Linked DNA regions of Drosophila melanogaster. The protein of the gene in region 3 interacts with the protein of the main gene of each other region in a biochemical or structural test. Each region holds a gene or a part of one and is shown on either strand. Other genes may lie near its edges.

Region 1 (4,345 bases), 8.4 Mb from region 3:
TATATATTATCATTTTTTTTAGAATATTCATGACGCCCAAGATAAGATCGCGACTTTTCGTGCGTCGTGAAGGAACATCCGTGAGCTGCGATCAGTTGCCAAAGGAACTCGGTGGTCAGGGATTAAGCTATATGGAGCTGTCTGTGAAGTGGAAGCAGTTGGTCGAGGAGAACGCCGATTTCTATGTGGAACAAGACAAATACAAAAGCAAGCTCAAGTGATTGGGGTTAGTGTGGCGGCAGTGATAACAAGGCGATTAGCCGAATGTTATAGATTAGTCGAAAACATTTACAATGCGCAAATGCACAAAGGCGCATATCAGTTGTCATATTTTATGGAAGGGTACTACAAATACTCCCTAATTCCCCACTTAACCATATTTGTATATATTATAAGTCATTACGTTAAACCTTTTTAAAAAAGGTTATTTTCGTTGTGTTAATCATCAATGTTATCTTTTTTTTTTTGCTTAATAAAGTGTCAATACACGATAAACCAAACAAAAAAGAGACGAGTTTATTCATAATATTCTCTTTATTAGTATAAAACGTATCAAAAATGTTTATCAAGTCTACAATTATTATCAGTTATTGGGTGCTGCCGACCGTCGCCTCAAATTGCTGGGGTTTGCATTACAAAATCGCTTGATCCGCTGAACCGCGAGCAATTAGCGATAGTTTAATAGTAATAAATACATAGAATACATACAGAAAGAAAAACGATAAACAAGGAAACACGCATAGTTTGTGAACGTAATATTTGTTGTTTCTCGAAAGCGGGAGGTGTTAGTTATAAAAGGCGTGCTGTTGCTTTTGCTGCTTTTGTTTTCTCCTTTACATATACATATAAATATGATTTATACGTTTTTACGTTTCACATATAAAAATATAGTAGTTGCTCTGGATCAGCAATTAGCCCGCTATAGTTCGGTTCACATTGCCAATTGGCGGTTTTTTGTTTTCTTTTGTTTAGTGGGAGGCACCCCATGAAGCAATGAACGAAACATAAAAGTATTGGCGGTAACTAACTAAAGCGTAATACACGAGTCTGCCAGAGCGCTTTCATCACAAGTCCAACTGCAAGCGCAGACCACCACCACCGCCGCCGGAATCGCGAAAATTCGCGGCTCCATGCAGTGATTCCTATATCTGCCGCTCATCCTTAGCCGTCAGCTTGTCGATGAGCTCCTGCAGCGGGGCCAGTTCGCGCCGCTCAATCAGATTGAACTCCTGCACGAAGAAGATGAAGTGCTTGAAGGACGTGTTGAGATGGGCCTCCTCGCCAAGCGTCACCACCTCTGTGAAGTGCTGGTGGTAGATGTGCGCATACACGCGGAACAGACGCTTCAGTATGGTCTTGGCGGAGGAGTGAAAGTTCTTTGGAAACGGCACGCCGATCTTGGAGGGAAACAGGGTCTCGTCGTCCAGCTGATCCTGCACCCAAGTCATCAGATAGTCAATATACTTGGGCGCGCTGCACTTGATGGGCTTCTTTACGGTCAAACCGTCGGCCCAGTGGTACTCGTATTTCGGACCAGCCGACATGATGCCACAGGTCTCCTCGGTGCAGAACTCGGTGATGGTGCCGTACAGCATGTTGATCTGGTTGAAAAAGTCCACGGCTGCGAAGGAGTGGCAATAAGAATTGGTTATCTTTCGCTAGTTACACTATACTAGACTCACTGTTAACGGCCACCCACTCGTTGAGATCCTCGCCATCTGGAAGGGCCACTGCATTGCGCAGGTTTCCCGATCCCAGCGTGGCTGCCGCATGCTTCATGAGATCATATTGGTGTGTGCCTTCCGGGATGTTCTTCTTGGGCTTGAAGGTCTTGCTGGAACGGGAACCGCTGTGGAAAGAGAAAGGCAATAAGTCGCGGCCCCAAACAGCCCCACTCAGTAAAACATAATACAGTAAAGATTCTATAGATTGAAACGTAAGCGACTTCGTTCAATTTACACTCCCTAAAAGAAATATTTCCTTTTTTTTTCTTTTTTTAAATTCACTGAGGAAGAATGCAAGATATCTTTGAAAAGCTATTTTTTAAACACCGCAGACAAAATTAGGGAAGTTCCACTGTACAAGAGGTTGGGGATATCACCCCAAAAAGGGCAAACAAAGCCGGAAAGTCAGATGTGGGGCGGGGTGATCCAAGCTTTCTTTGTGCTCGAAAGGATTGCAGTTGCACTACGTTTTGCCCCCCTGAGAACTTACAACAAGAAGTCCATGGCATGCAATTGCTGTGCTTCGCCTTTCACTGAGCCTCCAATGGAATTTTCCTATGCGTAGACTTTTCCGGCGAGTGCCACACCGCTTTTTCGGCTCTTCTGTGTCGTGTCAGCAGCTTTATTCCGCCGATTTTTACACAATTAGCGCCGAATAATAATTAAAGAAAAGTGACTGGAATTCGCAGCAGGTTTCTTTCTCTGGTCAATTGGGAAATGACAATGATGGTATCTGTATCTGGCCTCCAGTTGGTCGGTCTGTTAACTAGTGCCGTAGCCCAACAGCTGATGCGAGCGGTTCCAGGAAGTGTGCCGAGCCAACTAGTTAATTCTGTTGTGTTTATAAACGCAAAAAATTTGTTATAAATAAAAATAAAATTGCTTTCACACACAGAGACAGTTGATGAAAGTGCGAGAGGGACAACGCGACAGGTTATCAGGCTATCAACGTGGCCAGCCTGTTAAAATAATTCAGTACGGTACTGCGGTATTTTATCTGGTATGTCCCTAACATTTCGCAATCGGCTTGCTATGGTCACACTTGAAGTAAGCACGTGGGAAAACAACTGTAGCAGCATCGTGGGTGTATAAAAATATATATTTCTTAATTAAATCGGCATATATTCGGCATAGACATGGTAAATATTTCAGTGCAATAATCATATATTTGAATTTTCTGCGGGTTGCCCGTGAAATGAAAATGTTTTCCCTGCGAAAACTAACCTACACACGCGGAGCACCCAAAACCACATGTGTCTGCCACCGCATCAGACTGATAATTTTTCATTTCCCCGCCTCCAGTCGAACCTGTATGTGCTGTACGAGCATGCGGCGGGCTTCTCGCTCTTCTCCGTCAAGGAGTTCGAAGAGGTGTCCATGTTCCTGCCCCAGGTGGAGTCCTCGGTGACGGACCTCGCCAAGTTCAACTCAATTGTTAAGCTGGCTGGATTTGCACCTTTCAAGACGGCCATTGCCGCACTGGAAAACATCAATGCCATATCCGAGGGCATAGTGCCGCAGGATCTGCTCTCCTTCTTGGATGACTTCTTTGCCAAGCTGAAGAAGAAGAAGTGCACCCTGGGTATTGCGGATGCCAAGCTGGGAGCTGCAATCACCGAGGCCATTGGCGTCCAGTGCAGTCACTTTGGAGTGGTTCCTGAGATTCTGCGCGGCGTGCGATTCCACTTCGCTAAGCTGGTCAAGGGTAAGCTACCTGCTTTGCAAGGAAAATCCTCTTTGTCTAACTAAAGCCTCCTCCATCCGATGCAGGATTCACCGACAAGTCCGCTGGCGTTGCTCAGCTGGGTCTGGGCCACAGCTACTCGCGTGCCAAGGTCAAGTTCAATGTTCATCGTTCCGACAACATGATCATCCAGTCGATTGCTTTGCTGGATCAGTTGGATAAGGACGTAAATACCTTCTCTATGCGGATACGCGAGTGGTACTCGTATCACTTCCCAGAACTGGTCAAAATCGTTCCCGACAATTACATGTTCGCCAAGGCGGCCAAGTTCATCAAGGATCGCAAGAACCTCACGCAAGACCAGCTGGAGGATCTTGAGAAGATCGTCATGGACTCCGCCAAGGCTCAGGCTATCATTGATGCCGCCAAGATGTCCATGGGCATGGACATCTCCATTGTTGATCTGATGAACATTGAGCTGTTCGCAGAGCGCGTTGTCAAGCTTTCCGAGTACCGAAAGAAACTGTCTACCTACTTGCACAACAAGATGAACTTGGTGGCACCCAATCTGCAGTCTTTGATTGGCGACCAGGTCGGTGCCCGCCTGATATCGCATGCCGGCAGCTTGACTAATCTGGCCAAGTACCCAGCATCTACAGTACAAATCCTGGGTGCCGAGAAGGCGCTCTTCCGTGCTCTAAAGACCCGCTCCAATACGCCCAAGTATGGTCTTATCTATCACTCCTCGTTCATTGGTCGAGCTGGCCTGAAGAACAAGGGTCGCATCTCTCGATTCCTGGCCAACAAGTGCTCCATCGCGTCGCGTATCGATTGCTTCCTGGAACAGCCGACTAGCGTGTTTGGCGAAACTCTTAAGCAACAGGTCGAAGATCGCCTCAAGTTCTACGAGTCCGGCGATGTGCCGCGCAAGAACATT
Region 2 (5,010 bases), on a different chromosome or scaffold from region 3:
TTATCTACTAATGGGTAAAGTTTAACCAGTTATTGTCCGTTGAGTCACTTTCCTTTCACACTGTAAGATAACTACTCGACAGCCCAATCCCTATGCATGATGCTGTTCTCCAGTCTAAAGCGGAATACATTACTTAAGCGTATCCTTTGGGATAATTTGTAGCATGCATGGGAATCGGGACGATCGGGTAGTTGTGGAAAAGCCACTAAATGAACCGAATGTACTCACACCAACGAAGCATACCAATACCCGGAGGGGCATCAGGATGACGTAGCGGATGAAGAAGCCGAACACCCAGATGGAGGTGATTTTCCAGGAAATGAACTCGTAGTGCCTATTGGTGCGTGTCAGCATGTTCCAGCTCTTGAGCTCCTCCGCCTCGAAGCGCGACGTAACATCGTCCTCGATGATGGCCTCCACGCCAGACTTTACGTAGTCCAGGCATTTCTCAAAATCGAAATTGATTTCATCCTGCAAATGGGAAATGTTGTTTAAATCAGGTGCCCATTGCAATGCCGGACTCCTTACCTTTGTGGAGGAAACTGGCTTCTCTGGAGCGGGCTCCTGTGGCTGGGGCAGGAGTACCGCGTCCCTGGTAATCAATGTGGCTCCATTGGTGCCTTCTTTGGAATCGGCGTCGTCCACTAGTTGCACTCCCTGTTTGTCGTCAGTCTTGGGATTTTGAATGTGTTGGTTTTCTTTGGATGCTGTCTCTATACTAACTCGACCATACTGAAAGTAGAGGTGATTAGTTGTTAACGAGTCGAATCGGGGATTATCTGCAGATAAGATTATCGCAAGCATATCGTCGGACGAGGTAATGACTGGCACTTTACAAGTGTCTGGGAAGCGGCAACTTGGGTGCACTGGCGCACTCCTGCCCCGCAGATTCCTTGAGGATAGCCGAAGAATCTACTTAAAGCTTCCGGGCAAGCAATAGTTTCTCGAACTCGCCTGCATTGCAGTAATTGCGTAGGGCAGACGTAGTATGGCGTACTCCAAAAGCTGACTATATTTATGGACTTTGGAATAGCTTAACTATTGGTAAGACAGCACCATTTGCAAAGCCACCGCAGCAGTGGAGCACCTCAAATCGGTGCTTACTCATCTGAGGAACGAAAGCAAGCAATATTTACCTCGAATATCCTTAGGAGGAGGTTCACGTACGCTTTTCGGACGCCGATTGATTTGTTTATGGCGGAAATAAATATGAGAAATGAGAGGAAGCCCCCGATGGGGATCCAGAATATGTCCAACAGCACGGCGATCATTTTACATTTGTGTCATGCGACATTAGTTATTGTTAAGCGAAAAATGCCTCCGAATTGTGTCGTGCCAATATATACAATGTTAAAATACTTTTTGCTGTAGACCGAACTAGCGATGGACCTTGACTGTGTCAAAAACCTGTCTCGTGCTCACAGACCTGGCCCGCGCTCATCTCTACGGGGAACAAACGGAAAGGGGACGATTCCGGTCGGGCAGGAGACGGAACGGCTTCTTGTTCCACTGCCAATCGTTTTGAAAAGGGTTGAATGAACGTGCACTGAAAACAAAAAGGCACATTTACATTCAGATTATATTGTTATTGGGTATGTGTTTTTGACAGACCTTTACCTGCACTTATTACTTAAATCAACAAGGCACATTTACAATCAGTTTATATTGTTATTGGGTGTGTTTTTGACAGACCTTTGCCTGTACTTATTTTCACTAAACAAAATGTTATAAACCAATAAATAATAATTGTTAGTCTAATAATTTATAGTCTGATATTATGGAACACAAGTGTGTGGGCTATACACACACCATAATTTAATATCTACTTTGTTTTGTGCCTTATTAATTACAAAATATAGAATAAATCTTTAGCTATAGCTAAAGGAAATCGACAAAAGTCGTAATCGGCTTGCGGAATACCCCTGGCATTCCGCAGGTGCAGCCACGAAGCCGATTACATGAGGAACGCTAGTATCGGAATGGACAAGTGGACGGGGATAGCCATCTGGCAACACTGGGATAAATTTATTTTATGTTGGCAGTTCCGTAATTATTATTATTACTATTATTTATTGCAACGAAGTTTAGTTTTTAACACCTTAATGTTATAGTTTCGCGCAGCGCGATGGAGTGATACGTATATGGAAGAACATATATGTGCGCGTGCCTAATCGCTAAGATAATTCTATGTAGTTTTCGTTTGTATACAATAAGTGCCTTTTATATGTTAACGACGATGTCAGCCAGCAGCAATACAAACAGCCTGATCGAGAAGGAGATCGACGACGAGGACATGCTTTCGCCGATCAAGTCCAACAACCTGGTGGTGCGGGTCAACCAGGACACGGACGACAACCTGCAGGCGCTATTCGACAGCGTCCTGAATCCGGGTGACGCCAAGCGCCCGCTGCAGCTGCCCCTGCGCATGCGGAAGCTGCCCAACTCCTTCTTCACGCCCCCGGCGCCCTCGCACTCGCGGGCCAACAGCGCCGACTCCACCTACGACGCGGGCTCCCAGTCGAGCATCAACATCGGGAACAAGGCGTCCATCGTCCAGCAGCCAGATGGCCAGTCGCCCATCGCCGCCATCCCCCAGCTCCAGATTCAGCCGTCTCCCCAGCACAGCCGCCTGGCGATACATCACTCCCGAGCCCGCAGCAGCCCCGCCTCGCTGCAGCAGAACTACAATGTGCGCGCCCGGAGCGACGCAGCAGCAGCCAACAATCCGAATGCCAATCCGAGCAGCCAACAGCAGCCCGCTGGGCCCACTTTCCCAGAGAACAGTGCCCAAGAGTTCCCCAGCGGCGCCCCGGCCAGCTCGGCCATTGATCTGGACGCCATGAACACCTGCATGTCGCAGGACATTCCCATGTCCATGCAGACAGTGCACAAGAAGCAGCGCTCCTACGACGTCATCAGCCCCATTCAGTTGAACCGCCAACTAGGCGCCTTGCCGCCGGGATGGGAGCAAGCCAAGACCAATGATGGCCAGATCTACTACTTGAAGTGAGTTTGGGCAGATTTTAAAAATGATATGCATGAAGCTTTATTTAATACGTGTCTTCTTTATGAACTTATGAAAACTAAAATATTCTTGTGAGTCACAGAAATCTCATTGGCTTCGTTGGATGTCTTTCAAGTTTATCTCTTAATCATTACTAGCTCAACTAATACCCAAAACAGCAATCTCAACAATGGTGTTCTCTCTACTTGCAGTCATACTACAAAATCTACGCAGTGGGAGGATCCCAGAATCCAATATCGCCAGCAGCAGCAAATCTTGATGGCCGAGCGAATAAAGCAGAATGGTAGGTTCTATCTTAGATGTAATGCCTTAGATAAGCAAGTCGTTAACTGCCTGTGGCTGCGTCTCATTGTTAACCCACTTAAATCAGCCATCAGAGGACTAATTAATGCTAGAGACCAGGCAGGGATAAGATAGGCTCTAACTCATTCCAACTAACGCATGAACAGCACAGTACACAACCGATTTCAGGGAGTCCATTCCGTCCATTTTGAGCGCGCCAATGCACTTTTCGGGATTGGGTTGGAGTCTGATCATTTTGGCATTCGGAAGTGGGAGCTCGATTGGATTTGCTTTGAGCATACTCCAATTGATTTTGATATGTGCTGCATGCTGGGCGCCAGTGCCCCTCCGTTCTCATCCGCTTACACACTGCAGCATTACGTTGAAGACATATTTTAATTTGTTTTTATTTACTTTGGTTTGTAATTCATTGTTTTTGTTCGATAGATGTTTTGCAAACTACAAAACAAACTACCACATCGACCATTGCTAACAATTTGGGTCCACTGCCGGATGGTTGGGAGCAGGCAGTTACCGAGTCCGGAGATCTTTACTTTATAAATCACATTGATCGAACGACTTCATGGAATGATCCCAGAATGCGTAAGTCTCGTTCCACCACCCCGACTAGCGTAAGACAACGAGACACACAGATATCGTAGCGATATCGCTAGATAACATTGAGTGCGCAGTGGGCGGGGGGCCGATCACGTAATTCCCATGGCATCTCTGCTTTCACTATATAGTATAGTACTGATCTTGAGATAGAGGCCGAACACTCCACACTCCTTATCGCTCCATGCCTCGCCTTTACTAACTTAACGCCTTCCCTTACCGTGTATCTTTGCAGAATCTGGGCTTAGCGTGCTCGACTGCCCAGATAACTTAGTGTCTTCCCTCCAGGTAAGCATTCGCAGTTGCCGACCGCCGAGTTGGCGAACCGAGTTCCACGCCACTACCTCACTTTGCCCACTTTACGCTTTCAGATTGAGGATAATCTTTGCAGTAACTTGTTCAATGACGCACAGGCCATTGTAAATCCGCCGTCTTCCCACAAACCTGACGATTTGGAATGGTATAAAATTAATTAATTCAATGTATACATCTGTATTAGACCTAAAAGTTTTATATTTTGTATTATTCTAAATTAAATATTTTTCAAATTTTATAGTATTTCTTTACATAAACGAATTTGTGTGTTTATCATTATTACTGGGCGCCTTGTTTCTGGGTTTTAAAGCTTCCGACGATCAGTGAACGCACTGATTGAAAAGAAGATATCTGATTCAGATGACTTTCGAACGCCGAAGAGAGAGTTCAGGTGGATGAAAGGTGTGGTCAGCAGCGATGACTCATGCCGAAACCCGAATACCCCGACTATTGTAAAGTGCAAGCCAAGTAACCAAGTAACCAGAATGCGGCGTGCATTTGGACCAGAATGCACGCGATTCATGAGCTTCATTGAGTTCGATCTGTGACCGACCCAGCAGATTCAGCTTTACGTGGAGCCAAAGACATCCATGCTCATCGGTGTCATTCGCTTGCGAATCTGTTCGCGTTCGCTCTTTATCAATGCTTACCCATGAGTCACTTTTGCAAATATTCTTCTAATTTAGCATGAATTACTTATTTTCGTGATGTCAAGCTAGTCATCGTTTGAATTCTTTCAACAGCTTTCATAGATGATAAGAGTTGGACTTGGG
Region 3 (4,680 bases):
GCGGGTCGGCGGCTGCTGCTGGGTCGCCTTTGCTCTTGCTCTCTTTCTCCCGCTCGCTCTCCATCTCTCTGTTTTCGTTTCGTTTTCCCTTTTTTCATACACTCTCTCACACAAACACACACACACACTCTCTGGAGGTGGTCGGCAAAAAGGGGGCGGGGATCGAAGCAAGCAAGAAAAACGAGCTAAATTGCATTTTCGTCGTCAACATCGCTCGACTTGCATTGCAACGAAACAGGGGCGCAGAAGGGGTGCGGAAAATTCCAGGGGGTTGGGGATTTTCATTGGGATTAGCCCAAGATCAGCGAACACCCTCACAAGCTTAGGATATACGGTCTTTGGGAAAATAGCCTAAAATTCTTCAATGTGACTTAGGAACTAGGATGCTCAGTATCCGTTAACTTTATTTGTATCAAAAATCATTTCATTGAAAAGAGTTTAATCGTTTAAAGATTACACTGGAATCCATATAGCACTATGCTCCATTGCGTTCTACACTTTCTGCGGGGTATCCCTATGGTCGTCACAATCCCCGCGCCAAACTTCCTCTTCCTTTTCTTGTTTTATCGTTCATTTACTTTTAAAAGCGAGCAACAACAGCAAAAACAGCCCACTGTATTGGTATTTATTGCCCTGCTCTCTGCTCGTTGGCTATATGCGCGCGCGTGTGTGTGTGTGTCTCTGTGTGCTCTGTGGAATGCACACGATCGACGCCAATGGAGCCTCACCTGTTCCAGCAGCAACAACAACTATCACAACTACAACAACAGCTACAACAAAGGCAGCAACAAACAACAACACACTCACATAATCCACTGCGAATTGCATGCTGGAATGTGAATGGAATCCCAGCGATTTTCCAGCGTCGCTGACGATGACGCCGCTGTTTGCTGGTTTTAAGCAAAAACAACAATCGCAACATCGCCAACAAGCACAAAAACAACAATAGTAGCAGTAGTAGTAGTAGTAATAGTAGTAGTCCGTCCCACTAGTGACTGCAACAACAAAGTTTTGCACATTTCGGAGTCGTTTTTTTGGACTTTAGCTTCGATTTCAGTTGCAAGTTTTGTGGGCTTGTTTATATCATAGCTGTGTACCATAATATTTGGAAATCCGATAGAGAATCGATGGTTTACTTCCATTCTATACAAAATAGTGTATGTAGAACTGAAGTCTGCTTTTGATGGCAAGTATAAAACCATTCAATAAAGTTGCTGCTAGTTTTAGCTACTAAAGAGTATTCAAACTACAGATAGCTGTGTCACACACATTCTGCATCTCATTGCAATTAAGTTTATGAATTTTCGGCTGGCTGCCTCCACAAAGGATGAGGTCTCGATGTCCCGCCCCTTCGTTTCTTGCTTTGTGCTTCGTGTTTCGTGCTTTTGCTTTTTCGCGAGCACAAACGGGCCGCCTGAGAAATTATTGTCGCACTGACATTGAAGTGGCGGCGCTGCCTCTAATTACAAATTACAATGGGCCGCAGTTACTTGTGCCACATTTCGCATTTGCATCTTGCGTCTGTGCATTTACTGTTCTGCTCCCGCGGATTTTCCCCATTCCGTTGATTGTGTACTCTAGTCACATGCAAATCGGAGGCAGCTGCTGCCCACGGTTGCATCAACACCGCGCATACTGTCACAAAGTTGATCTCTGCTATGACTACAGTGGCTTCTGCCTATGTGGGTTAATGAAGAATATGCTCTTCCATTTCATATCCATATGTGGGGGTTATTGTTACATATCAAAGTAGCATTTTGTGATTATTAGATATTTGTGTATGACTCATTCTTTTTGCTTAAGTCCATCAAATATGAAAATTAAATTTGTTTCTAACTGGAATATTTTCATAGTTTCAAATTGCAATGATTCAAAAGTTTCCTTTATAGTAAATATCACAATTCTACAATAGTCCTCGCAGTTTCTTTTAGTAGATCTTCACTGTATTCAAATCTTGCTCCGTTTTCGCCATGTTTTCCTTGTATTCCCGCAATTACCACTATTATTATTGTTATTGCTGTTACTCTAATTGTACTACTCTCAGTTTTCGTTGTTTAATGTCTTGTTGATTTCTCGAATTTGTAATTCTTTCGACACACGAATATCGCAGCCAATTAAGCGCTGTTTCAGTTGGAAAATGGTAAGAGGAAACGGGAAAACCGAGAAAAGTGCGTGCATACATTGACCTTGCCTAATGTCGTTGGCATTCGAAATTACACTGGAATAAAGTTAAAAATTCTACGAGATTGATAGTTTTCCATGGACACCAGTACCCTCCGCCAGAAAGAGAGGGAAGACAGAAGAATTTAATCCGATTTGTGTAGCAACCTCTCGCTCGCTCTCTTTGTCTCCTCCGTTCTCCCCCACACACACACACTCGCACGCAGCCGTACTGATTTATTCCACGAGAGAGCGAGAGCGAAATATGTAAATACAGCCTGTTGCATTTGTGTGTGTGCTTCGCATTTCGTTTTCAGGCACTTTTCCGCACATTTTTGATTGCTTTTCGTGCGTTTTCCGTGCAGTTTTCCTTGCTTTTCCACACAGGCAATTGGAAATGCACACCAACACACACATGGGGCGCACACCAGCGCAGCCACACACGCACTGGCTTACACACACACACACTCGCACACATTCAACAGATATTGCATTTTCTTTTTGGACTGGAAGATACGCAAATTCCAGCTGCAAACGTTGCATTTTCACCAGGCATTTTCCGCAATTACCTTCTTCGCGTTTTCCACGTTTTCCACGCAATTTCCTCGCTTTTCGCCTCTTTGTTCTCGCCTTTTTCGCGTTTCCCACACACGGCACTTATTGCTTTTCCTCTTTTTCTCCGTTTTTCCTTGCCTTTTGACGACAATTCGCTGATATTTGCCGACGTATTTTCACTTGATTCACTCGCGTTCGCAACCCATCACTTTTCGCGTGCATTCAATCGCATTTTTCAGGCATTTCCGATGCGCGTTTGGCTTAAATTTAGTAAAATTAATTCGTGGTTTTGTTGCTGCCGTCGTGCTAGATATGTTCACATATCGATAGACCGATATCGATAGACAGAGATCTAGGGAGGAGCAGCTGTACTTGGTCTGGCAACCACATCAGGTATCGATAGGATTTGACCGTGGTATATAAACATCGATATTATACTGAAAACAAATATAAAAATATTTCAGTGATCAGTTTATATAAATTTATGTAATACGACAGAATATAGAGAGCAAGTAAATGTTATCGGTTTTAACTTAAAGAACAAGACTTGTTAGAATTGTTAATGAGGTTTCAAACCATTTCTGTGTAGCACGTAGCATAGACGCAATCCTTTTCTCATATAAATAAAATCAACTGATTTCAAAGTCTTAATATTTTAAAATATAATGCAGAACATTGTTTTGAGTAAGAATGAAAATATTAACTTCCTGTGAAAAACAGAAGTTTTAAATGCATCAAATTAGTCGCCTAACTGCAAGTCAAACCAAATTATACAAGTGTTTTAGTTTGCCGCTCAGTTTTTGAAACCTCGATAAGGAAAACTCAAAGCTGCGTTCCAGAACAGCGCTATCGATAAGCTATCGTATCTGCATGGTTTTCTTTGGATTTCCTCAAATTTCAAGGCACTTTTCTAAGTTTACCAAGATGTCGAAAAGCGCGCTGGTGATTTTGGCTCCCGGAGCGGAGGAGATGGAGTTCATCATAGCCGCCGACGTTCTGAGAAGGGCGGGCGTAAGTGCTCTCAACCTTTCCATTAAATCACTCTGTTCTATACTTATACTTACTATATGATAGATCAAGGTCACCGTAGCCGGTTTGAATGGCGGGGAAGCGGTGAAGTGCTCGCGGGATGTGCAGATCCTGCCGGACACCTCGCTGGCCCAGGTTGCCTCGGATAAGTTCGATGTGGTGGTGCTGCCCGGCGGACTGGGTGGCTCCAATGCCATGGGGGAGTCCTCGCTGGTCGGTGACTTGCTGCGCAGCCAGGAGTCTGGTGGCGGACTCATCGCCGCCATCTGTGCCGCGCCCACCGTTTTGGCCAAGCACGGCGTCGCCTCCGGGAAATCCCTCACCTCGTATCCCTCAATGAAGCCCCAGCTGGTGAATAACTATAGGTATACCACCTCTTAAGTTTATTTTCCCATGATCTTCATCCCATTTCTTTTGATTATTTCTTTAAGCTATGTGGACGACAAGACGGTGGTCAAGGATGGCAATCTGATCACCAGTCGAGGTCCTGGCACCGCCTACGAGTTCGCCCTCAAAATCGCCGAGGAGCTGGCGGGCAAGGAGAAAGTCCAGGAGGTGGCCAAGGGTCTTCTTGTGGCCTACAACTAACATATTTACACTTATTTATGAAAACAGATTGTTTCAAGAGCAACTCATGCAAACAACAACTGAATTAAAATAAAATTATTCAAGACAGAAGTTGTGATTCAATTTTATATTTGCTATTTGAAAGAAGTTTAAATGGAGAGCTAGGAAATGGCATGTTGTTAAAGATATATTAAAGAAATTTATTTAAGTGAATTTAAATGTCATTATTTGAAGCAAACGGTTTTCATTTAATTAGTTTTGAGCGAAGTATAATTCTATCATAATGAATCAACTGAACTGCGTTAAAATAAATTGTTCAATGGGCTTTAATTTAATTTGTCATGAAATATAAATGCATATATGGCATGA

What was found. Proteins that work in one complex are often made in the same cells at the same time.
Region 1: of the proteins of wts (region 3) and mats, one has a biochemical effect on the other in vitro, tested with the Drosophila melanogaster proteins (2 studies listed by BioGRID).
Region 2: of the proteins of wts (region 3) and yki, one has a biochemical effect on the other in vitro, tested with the Drosophila melanogaster proteins (3 studies listed by BioGRID).

The regions. Positions count from the first base shown.
Region 1 is NT_033777.3:22,419,472-22,423,816, reverse strand, and holds mats (mob as tumor suppressor), read right to left. Parts: upstream 2,657-4,345; 5' UTR 2,229-2,656; coding exon 2,215-2,228; intron 1,850-2,214; coding exon 1,683-1,849; intron 1,622-1,682; coding exon 1,143-1,621; 3' UTR 515-1,142; downstream 1-514. Other genes in the region: pinta (prolonged depolarization afterpotential (PDA) is not apparent), read left to right, coding at 23-221; Nop56, read left to right, coding at 2,861-2,863, 3,027-3,429, 3,495-4,345. UniProt on the Drosophila melanogaster protein: Coactivator of Warts (Wts) kinase in the Hippo/SWH (Sav/Wts/Hpo)signaling pathway, a signaling pathway that plays a pivotal role in organ size control and tumor suppression by restricting proliferation and promoting apoptosis.
Region 2 is NT_033778.4:24,065,461-24,070,470, reverse strand, and holds yki (yorkie), read left to right. Parts: upstream 1-1,985; 5' UTR 1,986-2,155; coding exon 2,156-3,006; intron 3,007-3,216; coding exon 3,217-3,308; intron 3,309-3,754; coding exon 3,755-3,910; intron 3,911-4,157; coding exon 4,158-4,210; intron 4,211-4,293; coding exon 4,294-4,398; 3' UTR 4,399-4,496; downstream 4,497-5,010. Other genes in the region: Gpat4 (Glycerol-3-phosphate acyltransferase 4), read right to left, coding at 229-471, 529-732, 1,137-1,271. UniProt on the Drosophila melanogaster protein: Transcriptional coactivator which is the critical downstream regulatory target in the Hippo/SWH (Sav/Wts/Hpo) signaling pathway that plays a pivotal role in organ size control and tumor suppression by restricting proliferation and promoting apoptosis.
Region 3 is NT_033777.3:30,803,559-30,808,238, forward strand, and holds the start of wts (warts), read right to left. Parts: upstream 3,062-4,680; 5' UTR 2,730-3,061; intron 1-2,729. Other genes in the region: dj-1beta, read left to right, coding at 3,640-3,726, 3,790-4,109, 4,176-4,332. UniProt on the Drosophila melanogaster protein: Negative regulator of Yorkie (Yki) in the Hippo/SWH (Sav/Wts/Hpo) signaling pathway that plays a pivotal role in organ size control and tumor suppression by restricting proliferation and promoting apoptosis.